Saccharomyces cerevisiae S288C: one gene and its partners. The gene in region 2 interacts genetically with the main gene of each other region. Each region holds a gene or a part of one and is shown on either strand. Other genes may lie near its edges. The genes, in order: PKR1, SYS1, APL6 and GCS1.

Evidence for each region.
Region 1: mutations in SYS1 (region 2) and PKR1 together harm fitness more than expected from each alone (negative genetic interaction), as found in Saccharomyces cerevisiae (4 studies listed by BioGRID).
Region 3: mutations in SYS1 (region 2) and APL6 together harm fitness more than expected from each alone (negative genetic interaction), as found in Saccharomyces cerevisiae (4 studies listed by BioGRID).
Region 4: mutations in SYS1 (region 2) and GCS1 together harm fitness less than expected from each alone (positive genetic interaction), as found in Saccharomyces cerevisiae (4 studies listed by BioGRID, with this or other methods).

What each region holds. Positions count from the first base shown.
Region 1 is NC_001145.3:510,140-516,903, reverse strand, and holds PKR1 (Pkr1p), read right to left. Parts: upstream 3,312-6,764; coding exon 2,943-3,311; downstream 1-2,942. Other genes in the region: EPO1 (Epo1p), read right to left, coding at 1-2,448; NCW1 (Ncw1p), read right to left, coding at 5,335-5,589; YMR122C (uncharacterized protein), read left to right, coding at 5,829-6,203; 60S ribosomal protein eL15 RPL15B, read left to right, coding at 6,556-6,764. UniProt on the Saccharomyces cerevisiae protein: Functions together with the other V-type ATPase assembly factors in the endoplasmic reticulum to efficiently assemble the V-type ATPase membrane sector V(0).
Region 2 is NC_001142.9:426,931-434,085, reverse strand, and holds SYS1 (Sys1p), read left to right. Parts: upstream 1-1,885; coding exon 1,886-2,497; downstream 2,498-7,155. Other genes in the region: dolichyl-diphosphooligosaccharide--protein glycotransferase subunit OST1, read left to right, coding at 1-865; COX16 (Cox16p), read right to left, coding at 1,086-1,442; CYR1 (adenylate cyclase), read right to left, coding at 2,849-7,155. UniProt on the Saccharomyces cerevisiae protein: Necessary for the targeting of ARL3 to the Golgi. Involved in protein trafficking. May serve as a receptor for acetylated ARL3.
Region 3 is NC_001139.9:1,010,045-1,018,817, forward strand, and holds APL6 (AP-3 complex subunit beta), read right to left. Parts: upstream 6,707-8,773; coding exon 4,277-6,706; downstream 1-4,276. Other genes in the region: ssDNA endodeoxyribonuclease RAD2, read right to left, coding at 1-722; TNA1 (Tna1p), read left to right, coding at 2,441-4,045; serine/threonine protein kinase BUD32, read right to left, coding at 6,930-7,715; SAY1 (steryl deacetylase), read right to left, coding at 7,923-8,773. UniProt on the Saccharomyces cerevisiae protein: Part of the AP-3 complex, an adaptor-related complex which is not clathrin-associated. The complex is associated with the Golgi region as well as more peripheral structures.
Region 4 is NC_001136.10:48,985-56,508, forward strand, and holds GCS1 (GTPase-activating protein GCS1), read right to left. Parts: upstream 3,190-7,524; coding exon 2,131-3,189; downstream 1-2,130. Other genes in the region: septin SHS1, read left to right, coding at 3,461-5,116; WHI4 (Whi4p), read right to left, coding at 5,413-7,362. UniProt on the Saccharomyces cerevisiae protein: GTPase-activating protein (GAP) for ARF1 and ARF2. Involved in intracellular vesicular transport. Required for transport from the trans-Golgi network.

The DNA of each region.
Region 1 (6,764 bases), on a different chromosome or scaffold from region 2:
CAAATTCAATTGCTCACCAGATATTGTTATCATCTTTGGCTGAGAGCTATCTTCTCCACTAGTTGATCCGGCGGAAGTTATGTCTCCTCTCCTAGCATATAACGGTTCATACGGTTTGGCTAAAGTATTATCAAAACTGAAGTCTTCTTCTGAAGCATTCATGCCATCCTTATCGTAGCTAACTGGGGCTGATTTTGTTTTGGAGGGTGAACCATCCATATGCGGTACAAAATTATCAGATTCTGAGGCGGAATCAATATTCAACGGCAGCGTATTGGAGATGAACGATCTACGGGAAGAGCTGGACATATGAGAAACTGCTGATAAATGACCATCGCGATTATTTTTTTTATATAGAAAAGTATCATTGTTGATGTTTTCCTGGTTCATGGATATGTTGACATTACTTAGTCTCCTGCCATTGCCATCGGATTCACGTCGCTTAATGGTAGCATCTGAGACATTTCTTTTGGGATCTCTTTCCGGTATGGATTGTAACAAAGAAGCCCTTTTACTAGTATTGAAATCAAAATCGACCTCGTTCGTTGTATTCATTTCGCCATTATCCGAATTTGAGTTATACTTTCCGGGAGAGGGGAATTCTTGTGCGGTCACGTATTCATTGATATCAGTAGAGTTTTCTAGCTTATACATACCTGTTCTGGTATTGATGATTCTTTGCTTGGAGGGAGAATCACTAAATGTGGATGAGAAAGTCGACAAGGACGCTCTATTGGCGACTGCACTTTCACTTTCCAATTTAAGATCTTTTAAACCAGTCTCTAGCGCACTCGCAGGTCTTAAATTTAAATCGTCTGATTCATGTGAAATTTCCTCCTCTTCATTTGCTTCAGTATTTTTCTCAGCTCTTTCCTTTTCTTTTTCTTCTACTAGTGCTTCTCTCTCACGTAAAGATTTTTCCATTTCAGCTAGCTTCCTTTCTTTTTCCTTTAACTCGTTTTGTTGAGGAGTGGATAATTGCAAAACATTCAGTTTTCCCTTGTTTTCAATAGGTTGATCAATGTTCACTTGTTTTTTTAGTGGTGAAGATCCTTGTTTTGTAGAGTTAGGCATTGCTGTAGCATCAGTAGGAGATGACGGAGAGAATGTAGTCAGGGAGTTGTTTTGTACGTTCGGTATTGAATAAGCTGAATTATTCTTTGAGGAAATTGACGATTGACTGATTGGCTGTTTCATGGACACAGCTTTACGATCGTTGTCATTTGGTGACCATGGATTAAACCCTTGGGGAACGTTCTGACTTTGTAGAGACATTGTCCGATAGCCTTCAGACATTGGATGAAGTTGAAGTTGTTGTTGTTGTTGTTGTTGTCTTTGTGATATCTGCTGATGACCTGCGAATGGCCGAGGATTTTGGGGTGAATATCTTGGGCCATTAGTTAATGACAGAGTACGTGGTTGCTGAGGTGGCTGTTGTCCAGAGGGCATTACTGGTGGGGTATTCTGGAATTGACCTGGGTGATTGTTGTAGTTGTTCATCGGTAGCATTCTTTGTTGCTGCGGCTGTCGAAATTGTCCGGGAGGTCCACTCATCAACGAATTTGATCTCGAATAATTAGCGCTCACCATTTTATTCGGTTGAAATCTAGGATGAGGAGTGGGTGCTTGCATTAAAGGATTACCATTCGGGAAACTTTGCAAAGACATTGCTCTCGGAGGCAACGAGGCTAATGTACCATTTTTAGTTTGTTTAGCCATGGCATTCATTGCGGTTTTCCTTTGATTAGTAATGTACTTCCTATACTCAGTATTACTCATATTGCCGCGGTCTTTAGTCACCAATGTTGGAATGATAGGAGTGGAATCACCACCATATCCATATTTGTCACCGCCCTTGTGACCGAAGGTCTGAATGTCATTGAATGTTAGGTCGGAGTTTGCAGAATCATCCAAGATAACCTCATCGTCATCATCACCATCTCCACCACCTCCTGTCCCCTTAGTGTTTTTCTTTGACTTCCCAAATTGATGCTTATGTTTGAAAAAATTGGAAAATGAGCTCTGGGTAAATGAGGAAGCTTTCTTACCATTAACATTATCGCGATTATTGCTTAGTGATGGTTTGGTGAAGTTATGCTGCATGAGGGGAATCTCATTCATATGTGGATTGGAATACTCAAAATTATACTGTTGTTGCTGGCGTTGCTGTTGTGAATAATTCTGCATGGGAATTTGACGTTGTTGAAGTGGCGCTTGTATTGGAGCCTCATTCATGCCATTACGGTAGTATTGCTGCTGCTGCTGCTGCTGCTGCGGCACGGAAGAAGGCTGGATGTTAATATTGCTGTCATTCCCGTTCCTTGAAATAGGTGTTTCATCCCTAATGTCAATATTTCCTATATCATTATTCAAGAGGTTATTTCTCAATTTAACTCTAGCAGAAGACTGACCGTTTCTTGTTGCCATGGTCGATAAACCTGCATCCATTTTGAACTTTTTATAAATAGTCTTTGAGTACTTTTTATCCCACTGCTTTATCGGATCAGGCTGTACCTCTCTGCTCTTTTTGTAGGGTTATTAATAGCTCGGTGAAAATTAATGAAAGAAAGCTCCAAATTTAGCTATAGCCGTAAACTAAAAAAAAAAAAATTAGGAGGGCAGTCACTAAAACAAAAAATCAGAATTCCTATGCAATGTGCTGCTGACACAGTTACTTGAAATGCCTATTTATTCACAATTTGAAGGGTTTGCGATGCTGAAAGAGTTGTTCTATTCAGTCGCACGCGTTAACTCTTTGCATGTGCTTCATTTGTCCATAATTGAGCCCAAAATTTGATTTAAAAAAAAGGAATTTTTGAAAAAAAAAAAATATCAGGGGAGACCCTGAAGCGGACAAAAAAATTTACAATTGCGGACATTTACCCGGAAGCTCTGTGATATACTAATAACAGAGATAATTATGTAGTCAATTATGTATCTGTCTATGCTTTTCTTGACCTAGATTGTGCTTGAGTCCGTCTGGCAGTACTAGTGGATTTCCCGCTTTCTTGCTTGTCTTCGCTGTCTTCCTTGATGGCACTGTCGTCCTTTTTATTGGCATCTTTATCCAGCTCATCATTATCCTTCAATTTGACGTGTGATAATTCGTTTATAAACCAGATAACGGTAATCCATAGTAAAAGTGATATACAGAAAAGAGCATAGAAGTGGATATTCCCGTTTGTGGCATAGATGAGCCAGATGAGGGTCAGTAGTAGTGCAACAAAAGATACGTGTGTGGCGATGATCAGCTGGGGGGAGGTCCCTGGTTCAAATACACTTTCCCACAGTCTAACAAAAAAATTGGCCATTTTGAGAAATTTTCGAAGTTATATCCCTGCGATTTTTGGCACTAATCAATTAGATGGACGTGTTCTTGGATATGACAAAAAGAAAAGACCATCTCTATTTTTCTTCATTTGATTTTCAGTCAAGCAAAAAACGCCGGGTAAACGCAGTCAAAGAAAATTAAAGAACATCTGCTATACCCTACCATGTTCTTAAAATATGAATGCGCTATTCAGGTTCATAGGCAAAGTTTTCACATGTCACTCGCCAAATAAAAATCAAAATTGAAATATATAGGTAAATAGATTGATAAAAAGACGTAATTAATCACCTGTACATCTTCAATTGGAGTTTCTGAGACACCGATATCTAGGACGAAAGAAACAACGGTAAATGATGATACCGTGCTTCGAGCAGACAGGGTCAGTAATCATACCAACAGAAAAATTCTCTTTGGTATAAGTAACGGTGTTACTGCCGGAAATACTCCCGAGAAAAACAGAACCTTCACTGGTTTTAATATTCACCTCAATGTAAGTGATGGTCTGACTTTGCCCTTATAATTAGCAGCAGCAGGAGTGGCGACACCAGAGATTAGGCACTAGTGAGGAGAAGAGATAGTCTGACTGGCCATTTTAGTTAATGGATATATAGTTTCCCATCTATTGAAAGGAGTGGAAACTATAACTGAAAACTGGGTTCTTGAGCAGGAATACTGCTTGTATACTTTTCTTGTATTTCACTGCTTCCTGTCCGATGCGCTAGCACGATGGAGCTCGGCAAAGAAAGACAGAGGAGAGAAACATCCTGAGGATTTTGCTTTGTGCAGAAAAGGTTCCATCCCTGCAATAAGGGTCCTCTTTGCTGCGGAAATTCGAAGAAACGAGATAACCATCCTGGGTTGTAGCGACCTCATCACCACCTAGACCCCTCGGTATGCAGCCAAAATCCATTTGTGTTTGCCTAAGGCACGGAATGGGAAATAAAGTATTTTAGATTGCATACGCATTTTCCCTCTGGGTAGGGAGTTGGTAAAAAAAAAATAGACAGAGTAGATTCGTAATAACTTAAATGGCTAAAGCGTGGGTACATCAGTGCAAACAAATACGATATTACCGTACCAATTGCACACTTCTTGGTAAGAAAAACTGGGAGCACACCTTACCCATAAAAAAGTGCATCGTTATTCCCATGGATAGGAAGAATAAGAATATATCACTCCTGCCTCCAGAATAGTAAATCTGTTTTCTCAGTAAATTATCCCTTTGAAACCTTACTGGATTTGGCTGTCATTGGTCGTAATTGCCCACAATTGAGGTTGCATTCTAAATGTTTCTTCCAATCAAAAATCAGTTAGATAAGTACCTTGGATGCCATTACATCGGGAAGCCCCTTTACTCAGAAGCCCGTTAGTTTCTTGAGTACTCCGATATAATTCCCCTATTTCTACAAATGCTACATAAAAAAATGCTGTGAATAAAGTCGCTAACAACAACTACTTATCGTGACTTGTCTAAAAAAAAAAAAACCTACATTTCAGAGTTAAAATAAATCTAAAGGTGCCACTGGAAAGAGTTATATGCGAGCTCCAGGTTCATATTCAAAAACATGACATCTTACTTTCTCTCGCGGTTGTGACCTCCTTCAATGAATTTGATATTGCTAACCAACAATCATCAATATTTTTGTTTTACCCGTCTTCTCGTTTTCTGAACGTGACACTAGCAATGTCAGACGTTCATTCTCACTTTCTGTCACGTGCTCGCATTGCGAGCAAAAAAAGCCTTACCACCACTCGATTAATCTAATGAGTTGCTGTATTAATAAATAAATTTTTATATTAAAATATATTATAGGAAACATGCAATGGCCCAATTGGCCTAAATATATATAACTCCCACAAGTTCGCCCACCTCTTCATTGGTTTAACTAGGCGTCAACCGCGAGTCCATTATGATATGATTTTTATGTAATTTTTCTGTTAATCAATCGTTCCCTTTGATAGTACAATAAGCAGAAGGAAAAAAAAAGGCTTTTAGAAACTTCTTAAATACCGGTGCCTAGGACGAAAGAAACAGCAGCAAATGCGGCCATGATGATACCGTACTTCGAGGAAACAGGGTTTGCAACCATGCCTGGAGCAGCGTTCTTTGAACTGGAAGTAGTGTTCTTAGCGGCACTGGAACTAGCAGTAGAAGTAGCAGAGACGGAAGAGGCGGCAACGACATTGTTGGAAACTAAGGCACTGTTAGTTTTGATGGAGGAGGAAGCGGAAGCGGAAGTGGAAGTACTGCTGGCCATTTTTATTCAGGTTATTTGCGATTAGGTTGGGGTTTGTGTTTGATGGAGACCTCAGTAATTAACAGTACATTCTGAGAGCGGCAAACAGAATTCTGCCTTAAATTCAGATCGTTTATATACTTTTTTTTCACTTTTTACGCTCGAGACACCATAACCCAAAAATAGATCAAACTAGCCATTGTATTTTTCACCAATATGGCAATGTGATTTCCGCATTAGGCAATACTGTGAAAGACTCTATGCTACGTCAGTTCGGAGGCGTGTTTCGCAATCTTCGCGTTCCAGAACGCACCAACGCGTTGTTATTTGCGCAGCACAAGGGGGACGAGAGACATTCTGGCCAACGTGCATTCGACGGAAGTAAATTTCGGCTGGAGGCTAAGCGCTGCTTTACTGCAATTTGCATCATTACGGTGGCTCGCAGGGATAGATTGGGCGTACTGGTTTGTGGCAAAAACACCGCCTCCACGCTACCTTATTTGCCAGCCAACCGCATATTCAGGTTGCCAAAGGTACAGATCAGGAAAATGTTTCCCATTGGATGCGCAACTTTCCTTAGTAGGGAATATATAATCACTGCATTGCTGGTTTCGTACTGCCATCTTTGCGTTTAAAGTATAACCAAATTAATAAAGCGACTACGCCGCTATCCAAAACAGGCTCCTCCAGCTCCTTTAAGGAAACAAACGTCTTTTTTCTTTACTCTTATTTTTTGCACCGATTGCTAGAATACTTCTCCAATCTCTTCAAATGATGATACAAACATGTAGTCAGTAGAGATGTATCTGTCTTGATGCTCCATATGTCGTTACCCGGAAAACATCTTTCTTGTTCCTTTCGATACTTTTCCACGTTTTCAATTAACCGGAGCCATTGATAATTTCATTCACTCTTGAGAAGTTAGCGGCAATAGTAATCGGCGAAAGCTACCGTAAAGACAGTCACAAATTACCTACCACACAAGCAATGGGAGCCTACAAATATTTAGAAGAATTAGAAAGAAAGAAGCAATCTGATGTTTTGAGATTCTTGCAAAGAGTCAGGGTCTGGGAATACAGACAAAAAAATGTCATTCACAGAGCCGCTAGACCAACTAGACCAGACAAGGCTAGGAGACTAGGCTACAAAGCCAAGCAAGGTTTCGTTATCTACCGTGTCAGGGTTAGACGCGGTAA
Region 2 (7,155 bases):
AAATGACGAGAGTTTACTGGGAAAAGCTAATGGAAACTCTTTTGAGTTTGGGCCTTGGGAAGATATTCCGAGATTTTCTTCAAACGAAACCTTAGCAATTGTTTATTCCCACAATGCCCCATTGAATCAGGTAGTGAATTTGAGAAGAGATATTTGGCTTTCTCATTGGGCTTCCACAATACAATTTGAGGAATATTATGAATTAACAAACAAAGCCGCAAAACTGTCTAAAGGATTTTCAAGATTAGAATTAATGAAACAGATTCAAACTCAGAATATGAGACAAACTCACTTTGTTACTGTCTTAGACATGCTCCTGCCTGAGGGAGCTACTGATCATTATTTCACTGATTTGGTTGGCCTTGTTTCCACGTCGCATGCAGAACGTGACCATTTCTTTATAAGACCAAGATTCCCAATCTTTGGAGGTTGGAACTACAATTTTACTGTCGGTTGGACTAATAAATTGTCCGATTTCTTGCATGTATCCTCTGGCTCAGACGAGAAATTCGTTGCTTCTATCCCAATTCTAAACGGCCCACCGGACACTGTATATGATAATGTTGAATTATCGGTATTTCTTCCGGAAGGGGCCGAAATATTCGATATTGATTCTCCAGTCCCTTTTACAAATGTTTCTATAGAAACCCAGAAATCATACTTTGACCTAAATAAAGGTCACGTTAAATTAACTTTCAGTTACAGAAATTTGATTAGTCAAGTTGCCAATGGCCAAGTCTTGATAAAGTACGACTACCCGAAAAGCTCTTTTTTCAAGAAGCCTCTGTCTATTGCTTGCTATATTTTCACCGCACTAATGGGAGTTTTTGTCTTAAAAACTTTGAACATGAACGTAACTAACTGAGTTCACGTTTGAATGATATATACCTTATGATGCAGAGCAATAAATTCAGTATTTAATTTTTTATAAGTTTTATAGATAAGAATTTTCCAATGAATAAAGGTATTTACAATCATTTCCTAGACATTCTCGTGGTCTTTTCTTTGCACAATCAATGGTCATAGTTTTTTTTGTTTAGTAGTTTAAGGACAGAAGAATAACAAAGATGTTCACGTTTTGAATGTTACCAGACATTCTCAGATTCATCCTTTAACCTAGCGACGCGCACAGGCTCCCAATCCTCTTCAGAAAGACCTTGTAAACGATAATATTCTTCTTTAATATCAAATTCCCTTTGATTCTTCCTTATTTTCAAGATATCCTCTTCATTAATTTCCTGAACTTTACGATCGCCTTGCTCGTACTTGATCGCTGTAAAGCTTGACAACCAAAACGAACCCAATACTATTGTTGCACAAAATGGTAAACCAAAAAAAAGAAAGGGGTGCTTACTCAATGCTTTTTTGTATCGCCCCGCTAAAGATGCTTCATATACTAGCTGCTGTCTTCTAGACCTAAATTTTTTTCCGCTGAACGACATTTAGGAGACAAATTCTGGTAATATTTCAGTTGTTGACTAATATATATAGTGGTTTTTGCCAAAATTAAAGACTTCCTTTTATTAACTAGGTGACCAGATATAAGGAAGTGTATTTGCTTTCTAATAACTTGTGTACGGCCATAACCCGGCTTTTAATCAGTTTATTTAACAAGGTATACAAATCGCCAAACGTAACAAGAGATAGGCGCTATTATTCATTTAATATTGTCGTATTCAAAATACTAACGGTGAACAATTTGCTCCATTGTAACACTATAGGACAAGGCTAATCATGAATAAATATCTCCCCACCCAAAATATTCGTAGCTCGCGATATTCACGGTAATATTCTGTAACTTCATGTTAAGAGATGATCTTTAGGAAGGCTAAGGAAGGGTACACATAGAAGTGAGATAAAAAATAGGCATTTGAATTACTGTAACATGGTTTCGATAAGAAGGTATTTGCGAGTGCCGAATGAGTTGAAACCTTCCCAGATCTTCAAACAAGATTCTCTCTCTCCAAGTAAGATTGGACTTCAAATTGTTCTTTTACAGATTTTTTATTACACCACAGCGATCGTTCTTTTTTATTGTTGGGCGAAGCTAGCGGGATATGATCTCAATATCAAGGAATGGCTGTTTTCTTGGGAGAATATCGACTTTACGAACGCATACGGTTTATCAATCTCACTGTTATGGCTTCTGGATTCATTAATATGTGTTTTTTTCTTAACTGTTATCGTTGGACGGAGTAAACTCGCATGGGATTTTGCTATCACTATACATGCCATCAATTTTATTGTGGTGTTCCTCTATACTCGGAAATTTCCTTCTTTTTCTTGGTTTTTTCTTCAAATTTTATCATCTTTAATACTAATATTTTTGGGGACATGGACAACAAGATGGAGAGAGCTTAGAGACACCTTTTTTGAGGGCTTGGTTGATCCTAATGAAGGAGAAGTTGGATTGGTTACGCCTAGTCAGCAGCATAGTAATCATTCAGAATTGGAGCAATCACCAATACAACTAAAAGACTTAGAAAGCCAAATATGAGAGGAGATGAAACAACATATTCGAGGCAATTTTGGCAATATTATAGTCATTCAAGAGAAAACAGTAAATGTATGAAAAATGGCAAGAACCTTATCTCTATAGGCTTAATAAATCTGCCTTTTTGGCCAATTTTTCAAAACAGATCCTATTTCTTATTTATACACAATCTATATTTAACATAATTAAGTACGTGATGACATTGAAGATAATAATAAGTAAAGAGTTTACGTACTTAAATTTTATATAGTTTTAGTATACTTGCAATGTGTGAATGGATCTAGTAAGCTGAGGTACTTCTCTAGCGTGAATATGAAACGAGTAACAGGGTGGTACATAATTTACGAACAGAACTCAAGTTGATAAATCCTTTGCGTTCTTAACCATTTGTAAAAGTTCGTCAACAACATTGAAAATATTGCTTCGAGCAGATGTTTTATCGTTTCTGCAAATTTCCAGTCCTGAACACCTCTGTTGTCGTAAATGTAATAATGCCACACTGGATTCGATTCTAGTAATTACATGATCAAAAAATAACAACGCATCCTTCTCAGAAATCGATTGCATAATACCATTTTCAACTTTAGGGTTAAATTTAATATAACTTCCCTCCGTCCGAGAGTCTAGTTCAATAAATCCGCCGCTTAAAGCTGACATTATAGATTCCAGTCTGTTTGAAATGACTCTTAAACGAAACAACATCGTTTCATTGATTAATTTTGACTGCTCATCTTCAGATGCAAATTCGTGTCTGGAAGCAAGAATCTTAGGATACGCAATAGTAACGAGTTCTTTGGTTTCGAGTCCCTTTAGCTTATGCTCGCCAAAGTCAAAAAATGCCCAACCAATACTTTCCAGCATGGCAATTTCTCTTTCAAGAACCTCTCCGATAATTTCTTCACCATAAACTTCCTTGAGAGATTCCTTGCCCTTCACTACTCGCTCATGATACTTCATTATCTTGTTGAATTCAGAGTAAAAATCACTACTCATTGCAATCTGACCACCGTCAGCGACGCCCTGGACCCTTGCTGCCTTATTGACCATCGGCCCCAAATAGTCCATTCTTTGAGTCACTAAATCAAGCTCTGGAACTGGGCAGCCCCAATGAATACCCATTCTAACTGATAGGCCTTGATAGATAATGTTACCATTTCTATCCGTAACTTGGCAGCCGTCTTGAACTGAGGTAATTTCCTCCGGCCATTGTGCATCCAAGAGTTTTAATTGAACACTTAAGCACCATGTCAGACCACTAGTTGGCGTAGGAAATGCCACCATAAAGGCGTCTCCTTCTGTCTTTACTTCGTAACCACCGTAAATTCGTAGTTGACGACGCATAATGTCATTGTGAGTTTTTATTGCGGTCCTCATTGCGTTAGGGAATAGCTCCCATAAGAAGGTTGAGCTTTTGATATCAGTGAAGACCATTGCTAGGTTACCTGTTGGCGGAGAAATCTCAGGTTGAAGTCTTCTTAATGTAGTATCCTCGAAAGTACTTCTTCTAGTCATTAAAGAGTTTTTATTTAAAGTGAACCGATTTTGTTGCTGAATGTTCTCGTAAAGAGCAAGGCACAAAATTGTAATATTCTCTGTACAGCCGTAAGCCATGGCATGATCCTTCAACTCAGCTGCGGCACGGAGTGGATCAGTACTATTCTCACGCGCGATATCACAAACTGTATCCACGTCCATGTATTCCCATAACTTATGCGTTGCTACAATAAGCATCTCGTCTGCTTTTGTTAATGTCACGACAGATATGTCGGGAGAAGCATGAATGTGGGGAAGCAAATCAAAAAAACCCACTGCTCTAGACACATCTACAACACCATCTAATTTTCCATTGTTGACATACCCGCCAGATATTCTGATCCTCTCGTATTCTTCCCGCTTTGTTGGGAGATGTTGTTTGGTTAGCGTTTGGTAGTCACCATTGTTTTTGGATAAAATAGCCATACAGTCACCTAAATTTGCAGCGAAGAGTTTCTTCCCTCTGATATATATCACAGTAGAGCAAGCGCCACTTAGCAAGTCTGCATATGAAAGATTGGCAACATCGGCACCATTATCAACAGAATTTAGCATTCCGTTAATCTCCTTATTCAGTTGCAAAAAACTGAAACGAAGTGCAGTTTTTATATTATCATCTGTTTCGTCTCCATACCTTTCCAGTTGTCTGATCAGTATTTTATCGTAAATATCTCTAACAATTCTTGATATATTGTGGCCATAATCTGCATTTTGGTTTTTACTATCATGAAGACATAGTAAGCATTCGTCGTCATTTCCGCGGAATCTTTCAAAGGTAACATCACGAGATGACACATAGTCTCTTTGACCTAATGTATCAGCAACACCGTAGCGCATCCCATTTATTATTGATGCAGTTGTCCTTAAACGGAAATTGACATTTTCATCCGGTACTTTGGTAGTATTTAAAGTTACGTCCATTAAACCTAGTACCTTTAACTGAGGTAATACTGTCAGATCTGACAAATCAGCATCAATATCGTGACTTATAAATGACTTTATTTCAAACCTTCGATTTCCTGAAAAATTCAAATATTTTAGTTCTTTATTATTCCTCCAGTTCCAATCGTAATGATAGTTTGATATATTATACTTTAATTGATTTGCTCCAACATCAAATACACTTAGCTGTGAGAGATTTGATAATTCTGCAGGCAGAGATAACATTTGGTTACTATTCAACATTAAAGTCTTTAAAGAGCTCCATTTCAAAACTGTATCACCCGACAATGTCGTGAGCTTATTACCGGAGAGGTACAATTCGGTAATGCTCTCAAGTTTCATGTGCGATACATCTGAAAAATTGTTGTAAGAAAGATTTAGCACTTTCAGATTGACAAAGCAATTGAAAAGAGGCCACATAGCATCATCAAATTGATTGTCTGCAGCAATAAAAAACATCAGGCTTTTAGATAACTTTGACCCATATGACATGTTATGGTAAAAAGAATTTTCTAAGCTAGAGTTACCGAATGCATTCGATGAAATATTTAGCGATGTTAGTTCAAGGTTTTCCATACCGTCAACAAAGTCCCTTATGTTGTTAGAATGTAGATCTAATGTCCTCAAACTTTTCAGTTGAGATAGCTCGGGTGGAATATACTCTAGTTTGTTTCTCGCCACTGAAAGGAAAACTAATTTAGTCAACTTGGATATCTCCTGTGGCAGTCTAGTCAAATTATTCTGATTAAGTTCAAGTTTCTCGAGGAAAGATAGTTTGGTGAGTAATTCTCCAGGAATACTCGATAACTGTGCCTTGTTCAACGTCAAACTTGTCATGTTTTTTGGATAAAAATCTTTGAAGGATATAGAAGTGATTGGATTCTCTTGAATTTCAAGGGCTCTTAGTTTCGGCAAAGTGTCTTCAAAGTTCGAAATTCTATTATCTGTTAAAAAAAGGTTCTGCAAGTTAGACGCATTTGTCTTAATTGATGATATTCTGTTATATCTTAGGTTCAGCGTCCTCAAATCTGTCATTTCCGATAAGTCGCCTATAAAATTTAGTTTGTTATGAGAAAGGTTCATCTTCGCAAGCTTTACTAGGTACTTAGTGGACTGTGGTAAGCTTTGGATTTTATTATATGATAGGTCTATTTGTAAAAGATTGGTGCAGTAGTTAATAACTTCTGGGTAGTGCATGAACTTGTTTGAAGACAAGTCTAGCAATTGCAGATTTTTCAGTTCAACAAATCCAGCCGGTAGGCTTTCAAGCTCATTACATTGAAGGTTTAATATCGTTAAATTACTCAGTTTCATGATTGAGTTCGGTACTTTTCTTATGAAGTTTCTCTGTAATTCCAAAGATACTAGTTTATACGCCTTAGTGATATTGGAAGGAAATTTAGATGCTCTAATATTAACCATTCTCAAACTTAATAATTTAATCGAGCTTTCAATGAACTCCAGAGGTAGGAATATATTTGCGTTATTAGAAACGTCTAAACTTTCTATTTCTGACGTATGCTGGTAAAAAATGATGGGAGGTGTAGTCAGATCCATATTCCTTAAATCTACGTGAACAAATTCGCTTCTCATTATTCTTTGTTCTTGTTCAGGAGTAAAGTGAGAAGGTGTGACAGGATGGAAAAGAAACTTAAAAACAAAACTTAAATCCTCTATACCCATAATATGAAGTGGGTCTGACTTTCGATAACCATTCAAAAGTAAAAGTTTTCTTTCAATTAAAATAGGTTTCGAAGTTGGTCTCAAAATTTTTGACAACTTTCCCACCTTCAGGGAAATTTGAAAATTCCCTTGCGCTGTAATGTTAAATTTTCTTTTAAGTGCAGGTATTATCTCTTCGACGGTAGTCGCTGGAGTACATGAGAGAGTCGTAAAAGTGTCATCAGTATTGAATATACGAATAGCATAGTGCCTCTTTGGATCTAAATCACTGAAATCTTTATAGTAATGTTCCAGTTGGCACTCGACCTCATCGTCCTTCTCATCTTGTAGTAATAATCCAGAACTCTGGGCACCATCTGGTGAATTCATATTTACCGAAGAGGATGTAAATTTCTTGGTATACGATTTCGTTTTATTCAGGATCGGTGTTTTATTATCCTGCTCTCGGTTGGCCTCCATATACGCGTTAGTGTACGAAGAGGAATCGCTGCAGGAAGATGTAT
Region 3 (8,773 bases), on a different chromosome or scaffold from region 2:
TTCACCATGTCTATTTGAAATCTTGAGAAATCCATACTATTTGGGAAGATGGTCTCCAATTGTTCTTTCGAGTATCCCATCCTCAGTCTTGATTTCAACCTCAACGACGATAATATCAAATACTGTGTGGCCTTTGGCAGCTCTTCAAATTCGGCCGATGCTGGATTTATAGTGTCTAAATCAATGTCTTCCAGTCCATCACCGTTTATCGAATTCATCAGTTTTTCAAAAGTTTTATTAGAGTTAACTCTTGCATCTTCCTTATCGTATTTGAATCCCGGTATATCGGGCAAGTCCCACTCGTCCTGAGGTTTGAAGATCTGCACACTACTGCCACTACTCGGTGTAGAGTTTTTTACGTTATCGTTTGAGCCGTTTTGCAATTGTAAAGCCAGCAGCTTCCTAGCGGTGGATTTCGCACTCTCTCGTTTTCCCTGTCTTCTTTCTTTCCTCTGCCGTATTGTTTCCCTTTTCAATACGGGCACACCACCATCAAAGACGAATACCGGCCTAATGCCAAAGTATAATAGCTTACAAATTCTTCTAAAGAACCCAGTAATATGAGAATTCTTCACTGCATTCCCCTCCTGATCACGGACAGCTTTCAAAAACTGATATATCCAAATGGAGGCATCTACTGCCATTCTCTTATCTTCCAAGGATTCCAGCCTGACCGGTCTTGCCGTAGGACCTGCAATATCCCAAAATGAATGCACACCCATGTCTGAAGTTTGGCGTTCTCCCGAAAATGCTTTTCTTCATGGATGACGTGTAGAACCTTCAATGATTTACGTACAGTTTTTCAATCCCTTTAAGGTCTCTATATGTGGCGGCATCTTTTCTTTTTCTTTTCTTTTTTTTTTTTTCACTCTCCCTTTTAATGCCTCCACGGAGGTTCGAATGGGTTATACTAGAAAGAAAAAAAAATAGTGATAATTAACAATGAAAAAAAAAAAACAGCAACAAAATGTGGTATTGGGGTCACACCACTCATTGACTCACATCCTCTGGAAACATCAAAAAGCTACCAAAAAAGAAAAAAAAAAAAATTCAAGTGCGAAGTTTCCGCATATGCAAACCTTACTTATTGTATAATATTGGTAACAGCAGCTACTAAGCTCCCTGACTCTGATTTCTCTCTCTGTCTCTTTTGAGGAGTACCTTCTGCGCTACTGTGTTCCAATGGTATCTGCGCCTTGAAAATCAATCACAAACGCTCTTGCTATGGCCTGCCTTGGACACGATACGTCGCTGCTTATGCCGCCAGGTGTCAGTAAATGCTCTGACGCACCCATTCACCCCGCGCACTAATTTGCAAAATTTGGGGGCAGTTTGGGAATACTCCATAGAAAAAATCGACTTCAAATCAATTCCGCACAACGTCGCCGTGTTGGCTAAAGTGAACGGAAAATGGACGACATGGTAAAAGAACAGATATGTACATATACAGAAGCCGCGATTTCACATGCCGGCCATTATGGCACACAACCAGGTCTTGTACTGTCACTATGTGCGTTCCGGAACGCCTGTACAGTCCATGGTGAACCATTTATTTATTTATTATTATTATTTTGTACATTATTATTTATGCTATATGTTATTATTATTATCACTATTTAATATTATTATTCGGGTCCAGGTGAAATAACAAAGTCTGGCGCCAGTCACTTGTCTGGGTGCCCGTATTCTCTGTTACAGCGGTATCCCTCTGGATTCTGCAATCGTCGCCGGCTTCTACTAATTTTTCCTTTCCTTTTTGTTTTTTTTTTTTTTTAGTTTTTTATTTTCTAGTTTCCTGCTCGTATTCTGTTGGTTTTTCCAGTGTCTCTCTCCTTTTACAAGTCACCCATTCTCTGCGAAGAAGCGGTCGCACCAACAAAATAGAAAATACCACCGGACGCCGGATCGCTTATTACTCGCAATCATAGTTACCAATCACAGCCGGGCATACTCGGGATCTACCGTAGAATCCTATGCGTCACACATGAGGACAGGTTACGAACCGTCGAAGGCTTCGCGGCGTGTGTGATTAGTATTGTTTTGACCTCATCCATACACCCTGAAATATCTGTCGCATCTCCGATTACGTTAAAAATTCTGGATAATATATAAACCATGAGTTTTCCTTTCTTTGAAGTATGTTCCTACTCGAGATCCTTTTGTTATTTTATTGCCATTTTTTTTTTGTTTCATATGTACTTCTTATCTACTATTTATATTTCTCTATATTAACTAACTCTCCAAGCTATAAGCATACGTCCATATTTACTGTCTTAGAAGTCGTATTCACATCACAGTTTTCCCCCTCTTCGCCTTTTTCAAACTATTTTCCCCCGTGAGACAGCGACTGAAAAAAAAACGACTGCGCAGAAGGCTTATATAAAAAAAAAAAGAAATATTTCTTCACTTTCGAGCATTGAACTATTGTCATTACCTCTAGATGAGCAACAAATTTACAATGGAGTCACCTAAGCATTTGGTGGATGATGTGCTTTTCATATCACCCACCAATGATGGATCAGAAGAAAAGCCTACGGAAGTCACGTTCCAGGAAGATGAAGGCCATGACGCTAGCTTGCATAATCGCAGCCATGACAAGAAGTCGGAACTTGCCACCGAACGGGAAATTATGGCTACTACCACGGATGATGACGGCATCCCCTCCCCTTCCCATCCAATGGAAAAGCGTGTCTTGCGCAAAATGGATATATACTTGATTCCTCTTATGGGGATGCTATATTTCCTTTCTAACCTGGATAAATCGAATATTGGTAACGCAGAAGTTGCAGGTCTATCCAAGGATATCCACCTTGTAGGAACGCAATATAACACATGTGTCACAGTTTTTTTCGCGACGTATGTTCTTTTCGACCCCATAGGTACTAACCTTCTGAAAATTATGGGTCCGCCATTAATGATGAGTATCTGTTTGACCTGTTTCGGTGCTATTTCGCTCGGAACTGCTTGGGTTAAGAATTATGCTCAATTGATCGTTGTCAGACTACTACTGGGTGCCTTTGAAGGTATGATTTATCCCGCTATTAACATGTACCTTTCAGTCTGCTATAGAAGAGAACAATATGCTCTGAGGTTCGCTTTTGTCTTCAGTGCAGCCTGTTTGTCTTCATCTTTTGGTGGGCTGATTGCTTATGGTTGTTCCAAAATCAGCGGTTCTCTAAAGGACTGGCAATACATTTACATTGTCGAAGGTTGTATCTCTTTGGGGTTCGTACCATTCTATGCCTTCGGGTTGAGCAAAAATTTGGAGGATTCGTGGTTTTTCAATAAGGAGGAAAAAGAGTACATTTCCGAAAGATACAAGACTATGAACACTTTTGACCCGGACGAAAAATTTGAATGGTTCCAAGTGTGGCAAGCAGTTAAGGATGTCAAGACTTGGGCTAGTGCTGTGGCATTATTCGGTATCGATTTGACTACTTTTGGTCTAACAGTCTTCTTGCCGATCATCATTACCAGTATGGGGTTCACTAATGTCAGAGCTCAATTAATGACCGTGCCCATCTATTTCCTTACAGCAATTGTGTTCTTCATTTGTGCCGTTTGGTCTGATCGTATAAAGTTGAGATCTCCATTCATCCTGGGTGCTTGTCTGACGACTTCGATAGGCATAGCTATCGTCCTTGGTTCTCAAGTTCATGGTGTGAGATATTTTGGCGTTTACATTCTTTGTATGGGTATTTACGTTAATGCTGCCTGTAACTGTTTATGGTTAAGTGGTAACACTGGTAATTACTTCAAGAGAGCCACCGCTTTAGGAATTAATCTATTTTTCGGGTCTGGTTCAGGGTTGGTCTCTGGTCAAATTTTTGTTGCCAAAGACAAGCCAAGATATATCAAAGGGCTGTCGATTAGTCTGGCCTTTCAAGTCTTCTCCATATTTATGACGGTTGTGCAAATTTTCCTATACAAGAGGGAAAACGATAAAAAGAAAGCAATAATAGATCGCTGTAATGAATTGGGAGAGCCTATTCCATACGACGAAAGGTTAAGCGACAAAAACCCTGAGTTTAAGTACATGTATTAGGCTTGACTTTCTTCACCCTCCACTTTTTTTGCCCCTCGTTATGAGTGTGTTTGCAATTTGTAACTTTTCTTTTATATTTGTATGTATTTTTGTACTAAGCAAATTCACATGAAACTTTGTTTACCAACTTCTCTTTTGTTTTCGTCCCAAACACGTATATTACTGGGAAGATATACATGCCTATATCTATATCTATAAATATACATATTTATATAGTATTATCTCCGAGTTCTAAAGCTCCAGATGCGAAGAAGACGTTCCCGAAGAAGACGTTCCCAAAGAAGAGTCACTATACTCATCATCGTCACTGCTCTCTTCCGATTCGTCTTCATCCTCGTCACTGCTTTCTTCCACCACCTTTATAATTTTCCTTGGTTTACTCTTCCTTTCTGGAATGTCGGAAAAAAACTCGTCCAGGCTTTGCAAACGATATTTCTTCCCGTTTTGAGATGTGAAGGTGTTTACGTTACCTTTACCTGAGATGCTATTGCTATCGCCGTCATTGATCCCAGTCAATTTTGCGTTGGAGCTAGATGTGAAAGATCTTGCTGAGTTGTTGGTAATAAAAGACTGCGATGAAAAACTTTTTTTGTATTTGTTATAGTCTTTCAATTCTGCGCCTTCTCTAATATCGTTACCTGTCTCGCCAACCTCAGTAATTTCAGTATTCCAAGGAAGCATTCTAAAAAATTCTTTTATTTCTGGGGTATGTGTTTCCAATCTTGCAGAAACGATAAAATCGTCACTTCTTGCCGTAGGTTTAGGTGCTTGTAATAGTAGTGACACAATTTCATATTTCCCTGAATCAAACAAGGATGAAATCATCCTGGCTCTATCCCTAATATCAAATTCGTCATCATATTTTGCCAAGTAAAGGACCGCATTGTACATTTGAGAGATTCTTGAACCACTAAAATCATAGTATGGGGGATTTTGGTTATTTTCTTCGCTTCCAGTAACTTGCGCTTGCTTAAAATTATCAATGTCATATGACAACAGTTTTGCTGATAACACTAAGATCTGACATCTTGTCTCAGGACCCTCATTTGAAAAATTCTGGATTAGCCTCCTCAAAACGTCCGGACATATCTTAAATTCAATCGAGGCAATTTCACCAAATAACCAAACAATACCTGCACGAGCATTATCAGCCAAACTCGTTTGAACTGTTAATAAATCTGCAAGCTTGAAGATTATGCGAAGATGTTTTGTAGGATTTTTTTGCACCAGCATCCTGATAACATTCACGTATGCATCTAGGACAGAAGCAGAGAGGTTGTGGGATTCCATATGATCAATTAACCACTTCATTACATGTGATTCCCAACTCGTTGACAATTGGCCACATCGAGATAATGACTTAACCGCCATAATAACAACATTTTCTGGGAAATGAGCACTGGCAACATAATATTTCAATTCTTTGAATATTTCTTTAACGTTTGATTCATTTATTAACGTGGACAAAATTTGGATCTTCCAAATTGATGCCACAATAGGATCTTTGGGGAAAACGTAAAATTTCTTGGTGTAGGGTAAAAATAGTGTCTGGTCTAAGATCGATAAGAAGTGAATTGCTTGTAAAAGCATTTCTTTGTTACCTTGGTTTTCTGTCATGGTTACCGTTCTAACCAATGCTTCAATAAATTTAGTATTTTTCATCTGCAATGGTGAAGCTAACTGATATAGCGCATTGCAACACGATAAAATCACTGTAGGGTTGGAACTATAAATTAAGCAATTCAAACTCTGTAGAAATAAATCTAAATCAGGGTCATTTACCACCTCGTAAGATGGGTATTCAATCTCGTTGTATTTATCTGGTAAAGGACAACTCCTTGGGGAACCTTCTGATGATTTATCGACCACAGTTGGTTTTGGTAAATACTGCTTACAGTACTTGATTAGCAGCTCAATTAAATATGATTGTGACCACGAATCTAGTTGCTTAATTATTCTACAATATCTGCGAAAATGTCCATGCAATAGCTCCAAGTGATCCGCATAACATTCTTTGTAAGCTAGGACAGCACAGGATATCACCTTAGGATCTGTATCTGCCATTAATTCTTTCAGAATATCCAACAATTCTTCATGATAGTCATTCTTTCCAGCCCTATATAATTTGATAATGGCCAAGGCGACTTCACCACGAACCATTGCAGATGGATCTGTAACCAATTTCTTGACAGTATGCAAAATTATAGGTGCTAATGATGACATTTTCATGTCAGAAAGGGCACTCAAAGCAAAGCATCTCAGTTCGGAATTCGAATCAGACAATGATTTTTGAAGAGAATTAATAGATAACAGGGTCAGGTTTGGGTCATTTTCTGCAAATCTAAGTAAATACAGGTGAATAAGTCTTTTCACTTTGGTGTCATTAGTGGTGATATTCTTTACAACATCAGCAAAGTATAATTGAACGTCAATAGAGTCATCATCGGAAGCCATTATAGATATTATTCTCTTCATTGCATCTCTAACTTCTCTAGAGTTCCTAGAATTTAACAAGGTGACTAACTGTTGAGGATTGATGTTTTGAGAATAATAAGTATAGGAGGATTCACCCAGCTTAGAGGTGGCTACCGCGGCAGCTTCCCTCGTTATTACTTTGGCCGTATCCAACGCCGATGCAATACGGTGAATTGAATCTACCATTGCTGGTTGTCCACTTTTCGATTGTTTGCTGTCTTTGGTTTACCTTTCTTTTCTTTATATATTTATATATATGGTTCTTCAAAAATGATTTGTCTGAATTTGTCAAAATCTCAATAACTCGGACACGCTTTGATGGTAACATACCTAAAAGTTATGTACGTTAATATAAATTATAGATACATATTATGTGCAGCGATATACAGGCAGTACGCTAGCATTTATATTATCCTAGCATACTTCTCTTACGACCACGCAACCTGACCTCTTCGAATCTTTTGGTAACTTCTTTCAGTTTCTTGGCACCTTTCGCACCTTGTTCACGATAGACCTCTTCGAACCCCTCCATGATCCAAGCATTGTATTTTTCCGCATGCTTCGAATGTGTACTTAAAATAGCTCTCTCTAAGACGTATAAATCGACGCCTTTATCTTCGACCAGGTTTGAAACTGAGCCCAGACCGAAATCAATCAAATGAGGCGTCCATCTCGCACCATCTCGCACGAGAACAATGTTAGAACTTGTCAAATCACCATGACAGTAGTCATTCCAGTGCAACAACCCAATTTGGCGCCCCACTTTCCGTAGTGTAGTTGCTACAAGATCACTATATGGATCTTGGTCATGCATCCAAAGGAAGTTCTTTAGGTTACTAAAACCGTGCCCTCCGGGAAGATCTTCTCCAAGGAACTCTAACCAAATGAATCCATTGTATGGATCACACGCTATCAGTTGAGGGACACATAGCCCTGGAATCAAGTATAATTTGGCCAATAAACGCGACTCATTCAACGTACGATGTTTTGTTAGTGCCTGGTCTATTTGTGGATGTCTATAACGCTTTGGTGGCCTATATTTGATAATATACTTTTGATGAGAATCCTTTGCTCTTGGGAGATATGGGTGAGTAGTCGTTGTGAAAACAATGGCTTCTGCACCTTGAGAAATAGGTGCAATGTCCACATCAGGAGTCAGGTAGGAAGATACTTTATCAATGAATTCTTGCGTCATAATGAGCAAAGCGTATAACCTTTTCCGCTGTCGTATTCATCACTTATTTGATTTCAAGTAAGGTTATCTTTGTCCTTCAAGTTGGTGATGCGCCGGCGATTTTTTCAACCTTGTTGCTGCTAAAATAATGGAAAATCAAAATAAATTTGTGCTGACCCAAATATTTATGTATATAAAAGGGGTTATGTAATTGTCATTATGACAAATTCAGGATTGCATAAACTCAAGAATGCGAGCGATAGATGGTATGTTGGTCCAGCGATCCATATTACGAGAGTAGTTTAATATTGGGCCCGTATGATAACCTTGGTGTTCAACCAGCACATTTTTGGCGGTAAAGTGGTTACATCCCTCGCTAGCGTCACTCATTTTCTTTGCCAAGATCTTGTTTTGAAAGCTCAACAACTCATCACTACCATAAGTAATCATCACAGAGCACTTTTTCAGAATATCTTGCCACATTTTAGTTTCGAAATTCTTTTCAATATTAACAAAAGGGTCGCTGGTAAAATCGACGTTTGGGTTGTTTCCTACAAACATTCGCCCAAACATCGAATGACTCTTCAAACATAGACCATCCCATTCTTGTGTTCCTTGCATATATTCCTTTTCTCCCTCGTGGAAGAAAGTGGCATTGGCCCAGGGACTTATGGCTATGACTTTTTTCGGGTATATTTCTCTGTGACACTTTCTTAAATATAAAACAATGTTCAAAACAGCATTGCCACCAGCAGAATCCCCCATAATCACTACATTTTTGCACCCCATAGTCTTAACAACGTAATCAAAAATGGCCACATTTTGTAAAATTTGCAGAGGGTACTTTTTCGACTGGTCATCGGTAGCTGTAACGGTATAATCTGGTACAAGAATGGCCATTTTAGGAAAGGCATTTCGCATATTATTCAAGAAAGAAAACGACGTAGGCGTCAATTTAAGAGCATAACCACCCCCATGATAGAATACTAAAACTGGATCTGTCGTGGGGTCAAATCCTTCCGGCATAACATATTGATAAAACTTTGTGCTAACTATTTTGGGTGCGTTTAATTGATGGT
Region 4 (7,524 bases), on a different chromosome or scaffold from region 2:
TTACACCCCAAAAGACGCCAAACGGATCGAACTTACTCAATAGCAATTAGCGAGACAAAACCTACGTTAAGACCTGTAACCGATTTATCAAAGCACTCTGCGGTTCTTTCTTGGGAATATTACCTGGACATTTTGTGCCCTCAAGAAACGAGGCTCTACGAGCCTGTTGGAGCCCCTCAGACATTAGCCGCCACGAATCAAACTTTTTACGCGATTCGGCCCAAATCAGTTTCTCACAGATCATTCGTAGAGTGAAAAAGCACATCGATTATTTGATACCCCTTTGGGTTAATTACTGTTGAGGTCTTTTCTATTTCTGATTGAAATTTTTGCTCCAGCATTATAGCATGCTGGTTTTTTTTTTAAATTGATGTATCTCATCGCAGGCACGGGCAGTACAGTGCCCTGAGCGTAGGGAAAAATGAAAAAAAGGATGTAACTTTTAACATAATTCCAGCACGCAGCGATTGGGTATAATGAAGATTGTTAAGTTCAACAACATGTGAAATTCTTAGCTCCGCAACTTGCTTGAATTATGAGCTCTAAGATTCAAGAAGTAAATAGGTCATATAATGGAATGATAGTAGTACTTGATAAAGGAACCATGTGATCTTACGTTGATATGAAAATAATTCTCTCACAGAAGTCAGTTTGTATGACTAACATAGAGAGTAATTGCTTTTCGGATAAAATCGCACCTAACAAAGATTACCTTTTGTAAAGCCTCCAGAACAGCTATGAATGTTCGTTATTCTACGCACTTTCTTTCATACATCTTGATCCGCCTTTTTTGATGTAGGTTTTAACGCGGCAAAACATATTAATTTTTCTGATTTGGAAAAATAAAGAGTTAGTTCTGCCACGCCATTTTAAGTCCAAAGGCACAATTTTACGTTGGAACTAAACGGTAAAGATCAAATATCACCTTTATTCTTTTTTGGTATGCATCGATTTCTTTGCCAGTAAGAACTACGTGCAACTCTACATTAGATCAAAATATAACGGATCATAAATGCAAACAACATTTGTCCAAAAGAAACAAAAATGTTGGCGTTTGTCTCGAACATGACACAATACTCCTTGATCGAGGGACATTGCCCGATTAACTATGATTTATACTTTTTACTACAGGTACTCGTTCTCCCTACTATTTCACCAGTATACGGTCGTTTTATGATTCATTTATTGCCTATAATGGTAAAAAGGGACATCTTAACCTTACGTGTTGCAATGAGACCATTCTTTTCGATTCATCAACTGTGAAATTTCTGAAATCCAGTACAATGCGAAACGCTACCGATAATGGCACCGTCTTTTGAATTATGAGGCCCAGATATGGCGTTCAATCTTCAACAAAAAAATGAATATCAAAACTAAATTCTATCTGGATAACAATCTTTCTTTGGTTTGCAGAAATATCATTAAAAAACAATCCATAACTACTAAGGAAGGGTATAAATGGTTTGGTTTACTAATTTTATATTTTGATTTGATTAGCAATTATAATCTCTAATATACTATTTCTGTAGCCAAAAATCTGCAATGTCAATAAGTAGCAAGTGCCGCTTACTCGTGAGAATATCAACCTTATAGCATATGTTTTCTATTTTTTTTTTTTGCTTATGGAGATAATGAACATTGTACACATGAACAAAGTGGTAGTTCTCTCTCCTTGATTTTTTGTGCTTGCGATATATATAATTGTTACATTCAATGGCCATGCTAAATAAAGGTTTTAGCTTTGTTTCACTCGTGCCCAGGATAATTTTAAGGCGCAAACATCCAAATAATGAAGAAAAGGATAACGATTGTCCCAGGTCTAAAACATTTTTTAATAATAGCCGTCATTAGCCTTGCAACAGTACAACAACGCCGATGGGAAAGGATTGCAATTCTATTTGTAATTAATAGGTTGTATAATAATTTACGATATGGCCTTGTGGTAACTATTTATGAATACTGGTGTAGACTTATTTATAATCCTAGAGAGTAAACCTCTTCTTGTCAAGATATGAAAAATACAAATTTAGAGACAGAAGTATTACGTGTAAACTTTACAGAACCACTTCTCCATTATAGCTACAATGTGAATTGAACTTTCCTTGAATGTTGAGAAAAACTATATTAAAATTAGAAATCGTCCCATTTGTCCTCGTCCTGTTCATTCTTCTTATCGTTATTATCAATCTTTTGATATTCTGTATGGGTTGTATTCCCTGCTGTAGAGCTATCCTCTGCATTACCATTGAAATTTTTAGTGAAGTTACTAAATGCTTGGAATCCATAACTACTCGTTTCTTGAAACTTTTGGCCAAACTGGGCAGCTGCTCTCTTCGTTTCTTCTGACAACTCTCCGGATTGCCATTGCTGGACGTGAGGCTTAATAACCGTTTCGTTTACGTCCTCGAACGATTTGGTTACAGCGCTGGAGAAGAGGCCCCATCCTCTGCTCAATGTTCCCAAAGGATCAGCTTGAAAATTTTCCAGGCTCAAAGTATTGCTGGACCCTGCAGACCGTTCTTGTGGAGGTTTTGCGGGTGTACTTCCAAAGCCCTGATATTTACCACCTTGAGAAGGGGGCAAATGATCTGGTCTAGATTGGTTCTTCTTGCCCAGCTCAGCAAAATAAGCTTCGTTCTTCTCCTTTTGAAAATTGGCACCATTACTAGAGTTTGCTGGTGTTGCAGATCGACGGTTCTCCAGTGGTGTCCCTTCTCGACTTTGAGCAACACCAGGCGTAGCGGATGCAGCGGTTTGAGAGGTTGCTGATAACTTGGAAGCATCAAAATCCAAATGCTCACGCTCTTCAAATACTCTATCTTCGCAAAGACATGTTAACTTTTCTTTATAATCCTCTGCGACGGGGTTATCGTATTTCACTTTTTGTGGTAAACTCAGGTCAATATTATGCGACTTGAACCATTCAGTCAAAGGTTCGTTACCACCTTTTTCCATACGAAGAAGTTCCTCCGGTTTAAACTGATCCATAGTGATAGATCTTACAAAAGATATATGCACACCAAGCCCTCTATGGATACCGGCACATTCAAGGCAAATGAAAGCTCCAAACTTAGGCGTGGCCCATTGTGGATTTGGCGCACCACAATCCATACATTTCTTATTTGCACCAATCTTTTGCAATTGCAAAAGACGCCTGCGGGTATCTGGGTCCACTTTCCAATCTGACATGCTCTATAATCCGCGATAAAATTGCTCAATTGGCACCATTTAAACTCAGAATCACGTCCATATTTCTGCTTTCATTCTTGATATAGTTGTGCAATTTGGTTCTTGACAAAAACTGGCGTTGCTTGCGGGTAACCGCGCGATTTTTAAAGTGCCAAACTGCGAAAAGAATATAACAAGCTTTCGAGCAAGATCAATGTACCCAGCAAGTGAAATAATAAAACAAGAGCCCCAAAGATCTGCTTATAATTGCTAGAAAAATATATTATTAATCATGAGCACTGCTTCAACACCGCCAATTAACTTATTTCGTAGAAAGAAAGAACATAAACGTGGGATCACATACACAATGTTACTATGTGGGCCAGCAGGTACAGGAAAGACCGCCTTTGCTAACAATCTATTGGAAACTAAGATCTTTCCGCATAAGTATCAATACGGTAAATCAAATGCTAGTATTAGCTCTAACCCAGAAGTAAAAGTTATTGCTCCGACAAAAGTTGTTTCATTTAATTCGAAAAATGGGATTCCATCTTATGTTTCTGAATTCGATCCAATGAGAGCCAATTTGGAACCAGGTATTACCATCACCTCCACTTCATTAGAACTTGGGGGCAACAAAGATCAAGGAAAGCCAGAAATGAACGAGGATGATACCGTGTTTTTCAACTTGATTATGACGCATGGTATAGGCGAAAACTTGGACGATTCGTTGTGTTCTGAGGAAGTTATGTCGTATTTAGAACAACAATTTGACATTGTTTTAGCTGAGGAAACCAGAATTAAAAGGAATCCGAGGTTTGAGGACACCAGGGTTCACGTAGCATTATATTTTATTGAACCCACTGGACACGGTCTGAGAGAAGTCGATGTAGAGCTCATGAAAAGCATCTCCAAATACACAAATGTACTGCCAATAATAACAAGAGCTGACTCATTCACCAAGGAGGAGCTAACTCAATTCAGGAAAAATATTATGTTTGATGTGGAAAGATACAACGTCCCAATTTACAAATTTGAGGTTGACCCTGAAGATGATGATTTGGAATCCATGGAAGAGAATCAAGCCTTGGCATCCTTGCAACCATTTGCTATTATAACTTCAGATACCAGAGATAGTGAAGGTAGATACGTTAGGGAGTATCCGTGGGGGATAATATCAATCGACGACGACAAAATTTCGGATTTGAAAGTTTTAAAAAACGTCCTGTTTGGTTCTCACTTACAAGAATTCAAAGACACCACGCAAAATTTGCTTTACGAGAATTACCGTTCCGAAAAACTATCGTCCGTGGCCAACGCTGAAGAAATTGGTCCTAATTCTACAAAGAGACAGTCAAATGCTCCAAGTTTAAGCAACTTTGCCTCTTTGATAAGCACTGGTCAATTCAATTCTTCTCAAACTCTTGCAAACAATTTGAGAGCGGACACACCAAGAAACCAAGTAAGTGGAAACTTTAAGGAAAACGAATACGAAGACAATGGCGAACATGATTCAGCAGAAAATGAACAGGAAATGTCTCCCGTGAGACAGTTGGGTAGAGAAATAAAACAAGAAAATGAAAATTTGATAAGATCTATCAAAACAGAATCTTCACCAAAATTCTTGAACTCTCCGGACTTACCAGAGCGTACCAAGTTAAGAAATATTTCAGAAACCGTTCCATATGTCTTGAGACATGAAAGAATTTTAGCAAGACAACAAAAACTGGAAGAGTTAGAGGCCCAGTCAGCTAAAGAATTACAAAAAAGAATTCAAGAATTAGAAAGAAAAGCACACGAATTGAAATTGAGGGAAAAACTAATAAATCAGAATAAACTAAACGGTTCATCATCTTCAATCAATTCTCTACAACAGAGCACAAGGAGCCAAATTAAAAAAAATGACACGTATACTGATTTAGCCTCTATTGCATCGGGTAGAGATTGAGTTGTATCTGTACAAAATCCAAAGCTGAGCAAATAAATAAATAAATAAATGTATAAGTTACCGAACGGGGGTATTTTTACTTTTGATCAAAAATTTATGTACCAACTACAAAGTTTCCTCAGCACAGCCTTCAAGAAGGGAACACACATACAAACAGTGTCAAATAATTGTAGGGATAAATTTAAATATGGCATAAACTAAATAAGTAGAGCATGAAAAAACTGCAAAATCCAAAAAGTAAAAACGAAGGTCAGAAAGTAAAGCAAAAGAAAATTAATAAAGCAATACTAAATCTATCATGATTTCCCGTAACTTCCATTAAAGCTGTAACCAGATTTACTCCTACTGTTTGAGCCTCTAACGCCTAATGGATTTTTAGAGAAGCTCAACCTGATACCTCCTTTGTTGTTGAGGGAAGGGCGGGGGTGAGGTAGTTGACTACCATATAATTCTGCCAATGCTCTAGTGGCAAAGCTAACATCCTCAAATTCTACAAAACAAATTGGACCATGGCCATGACCGTTGCCATGACCGTGAGAGTTCATTTTATTCCTGAAGGATAATCTACGAAAACCTTGCTGATTAGAAAACAATTGCCTTAATTCTTGTTCCGTGGCATCCGGAGGTAGATTACCCACATAAAGAGTATTACAAGGAGGATTTTGGTCCGCGGGATTGGCTGGTGGTGGCACCTTGGCTAGTAGTGATAGGTCAGCCTGTGAAATAGTTGTGGAACCTGCCACATTTGTTTCGTTATTTTTCGAAAATGCAGAGGCAGAAGCTGTAGAAGAACATTCTTTCTGTCGTGATATTGTACTGGTGTCTTGTTCACTCACTAAAAAGCCTTGATTCACCTTTTGGTTGTTGAATATTGAAGACCCGTTAGGAGCAGAAGATTGTGGGTGGCCATTTTCCGTTTGGAGATTCAGGTCCAAATTGGAAGGAACATTCGAAACGCTCTGCTGAATACTTTGTGTCTTAGTTGAAGCATTAATTTGGTTCAATAAGTGATAATGCGGTAGAGAAGTCGCGGAATGTATTACTCCTGAATTGTTCAGATTAGGTTGTGATTGAATATGTGGAACATCCTGGCTAATTGAATGGTGGGATGGAGGCAACAGATTAGACTGATGATTTTCTTGGCTAGATAATTGAAAAAGAGGAATATTAGCAGTTGAGGAAGCATTCCACTCCATCACAGGCGTAGATGACATCGGAGGCTCTTGTAAAGATGCACCAAATGAAGAATTACCAACATCATTAACTAATTCATCACCATTCCAAATACTTTCATTTATTTCATCCTTTTCTAGTAGCAAAAGTGACTTGCCAGCGTCCTTCTGAGGTGGCATTCCTGCTGGAACTGGTGTGGTGGTTACGTTTGATAAATCATGTTGTGAGATGCTATTTCGTAGAAAGGGTACGGATTCTTTTCTTTGAGAGATTGTTTCCAATCCGAATGGGTCATTGAATGAGAAACGGAGGGATCTCTCTGAAAGTAATGAAGGCCTTGGCTTGGCCGCTGAAGGCCCTAATGGAGAGGAACTAGTTTTTCCATATGATATAGTATTAAAACTTTGATTTTGAATTTCATTTTGCGCACTGGACGACAATTGGTAATTCTTTGGAGAACTATTTGTAGTGCCAGATGAAACATGTTCTTGAAAACTCACTGGAAGCTGCGTTTGTTCATTTACTACGTCAATGTGAGACCTAAAGGGGAAACTAGGCCCAAAAATCTCAGACTTCGAGTTTAATATATTAGCATAATGGGTTACTAAAGAAAGGGATCCAAATTTGACCACAACGACTTTTTCATTGTCATTAAAGGGTTCTCTATCATCCCTTTTTAGTTCTATACTTGACACCCCAGTTGCTAGTGAAAATATACAATAACACTCTCTTAGTGTAATGTCTTTTGGCAAATTCCTCAGCAAAAGACAGTAGGGGCCAACATCCACATCATGTGGGGCTAAAGAATTGACGTCATTCCCGTTCCCTTTCCCCGTGGACATGGTCAAATTATGAAGCATAGAAGTCATAATAGGTTCTTTTGCAAAACCTTGCGGGTTCTCTCTTTTAATGTTAGTCTCGCTGTTGCTCCTAACTGCGGAAAAACTATATGCAGTTGGCATGGGATATGTTGCCTCCTTTGATAATGGAACGGTTTCTGAACTAGAACTAAATGCCCTTTCTATAAGAAATTTGGATTCGTTTAAATTCGTCTGATTATGCACTAATGACATTGTTAATTGAGAAACCTTAAGCGTTATTTTTCAGCGTAGATGTGGCAACTAAGGTTCCTGTTTTCAAAAACCCTGCTTTTTTGAAAAATGCTCGAAAAATAAAGAAAGAAGTCAGTCCCTTGTTTTAGCAAAGTGATAATTTGTGAAATATGACACAAGTAG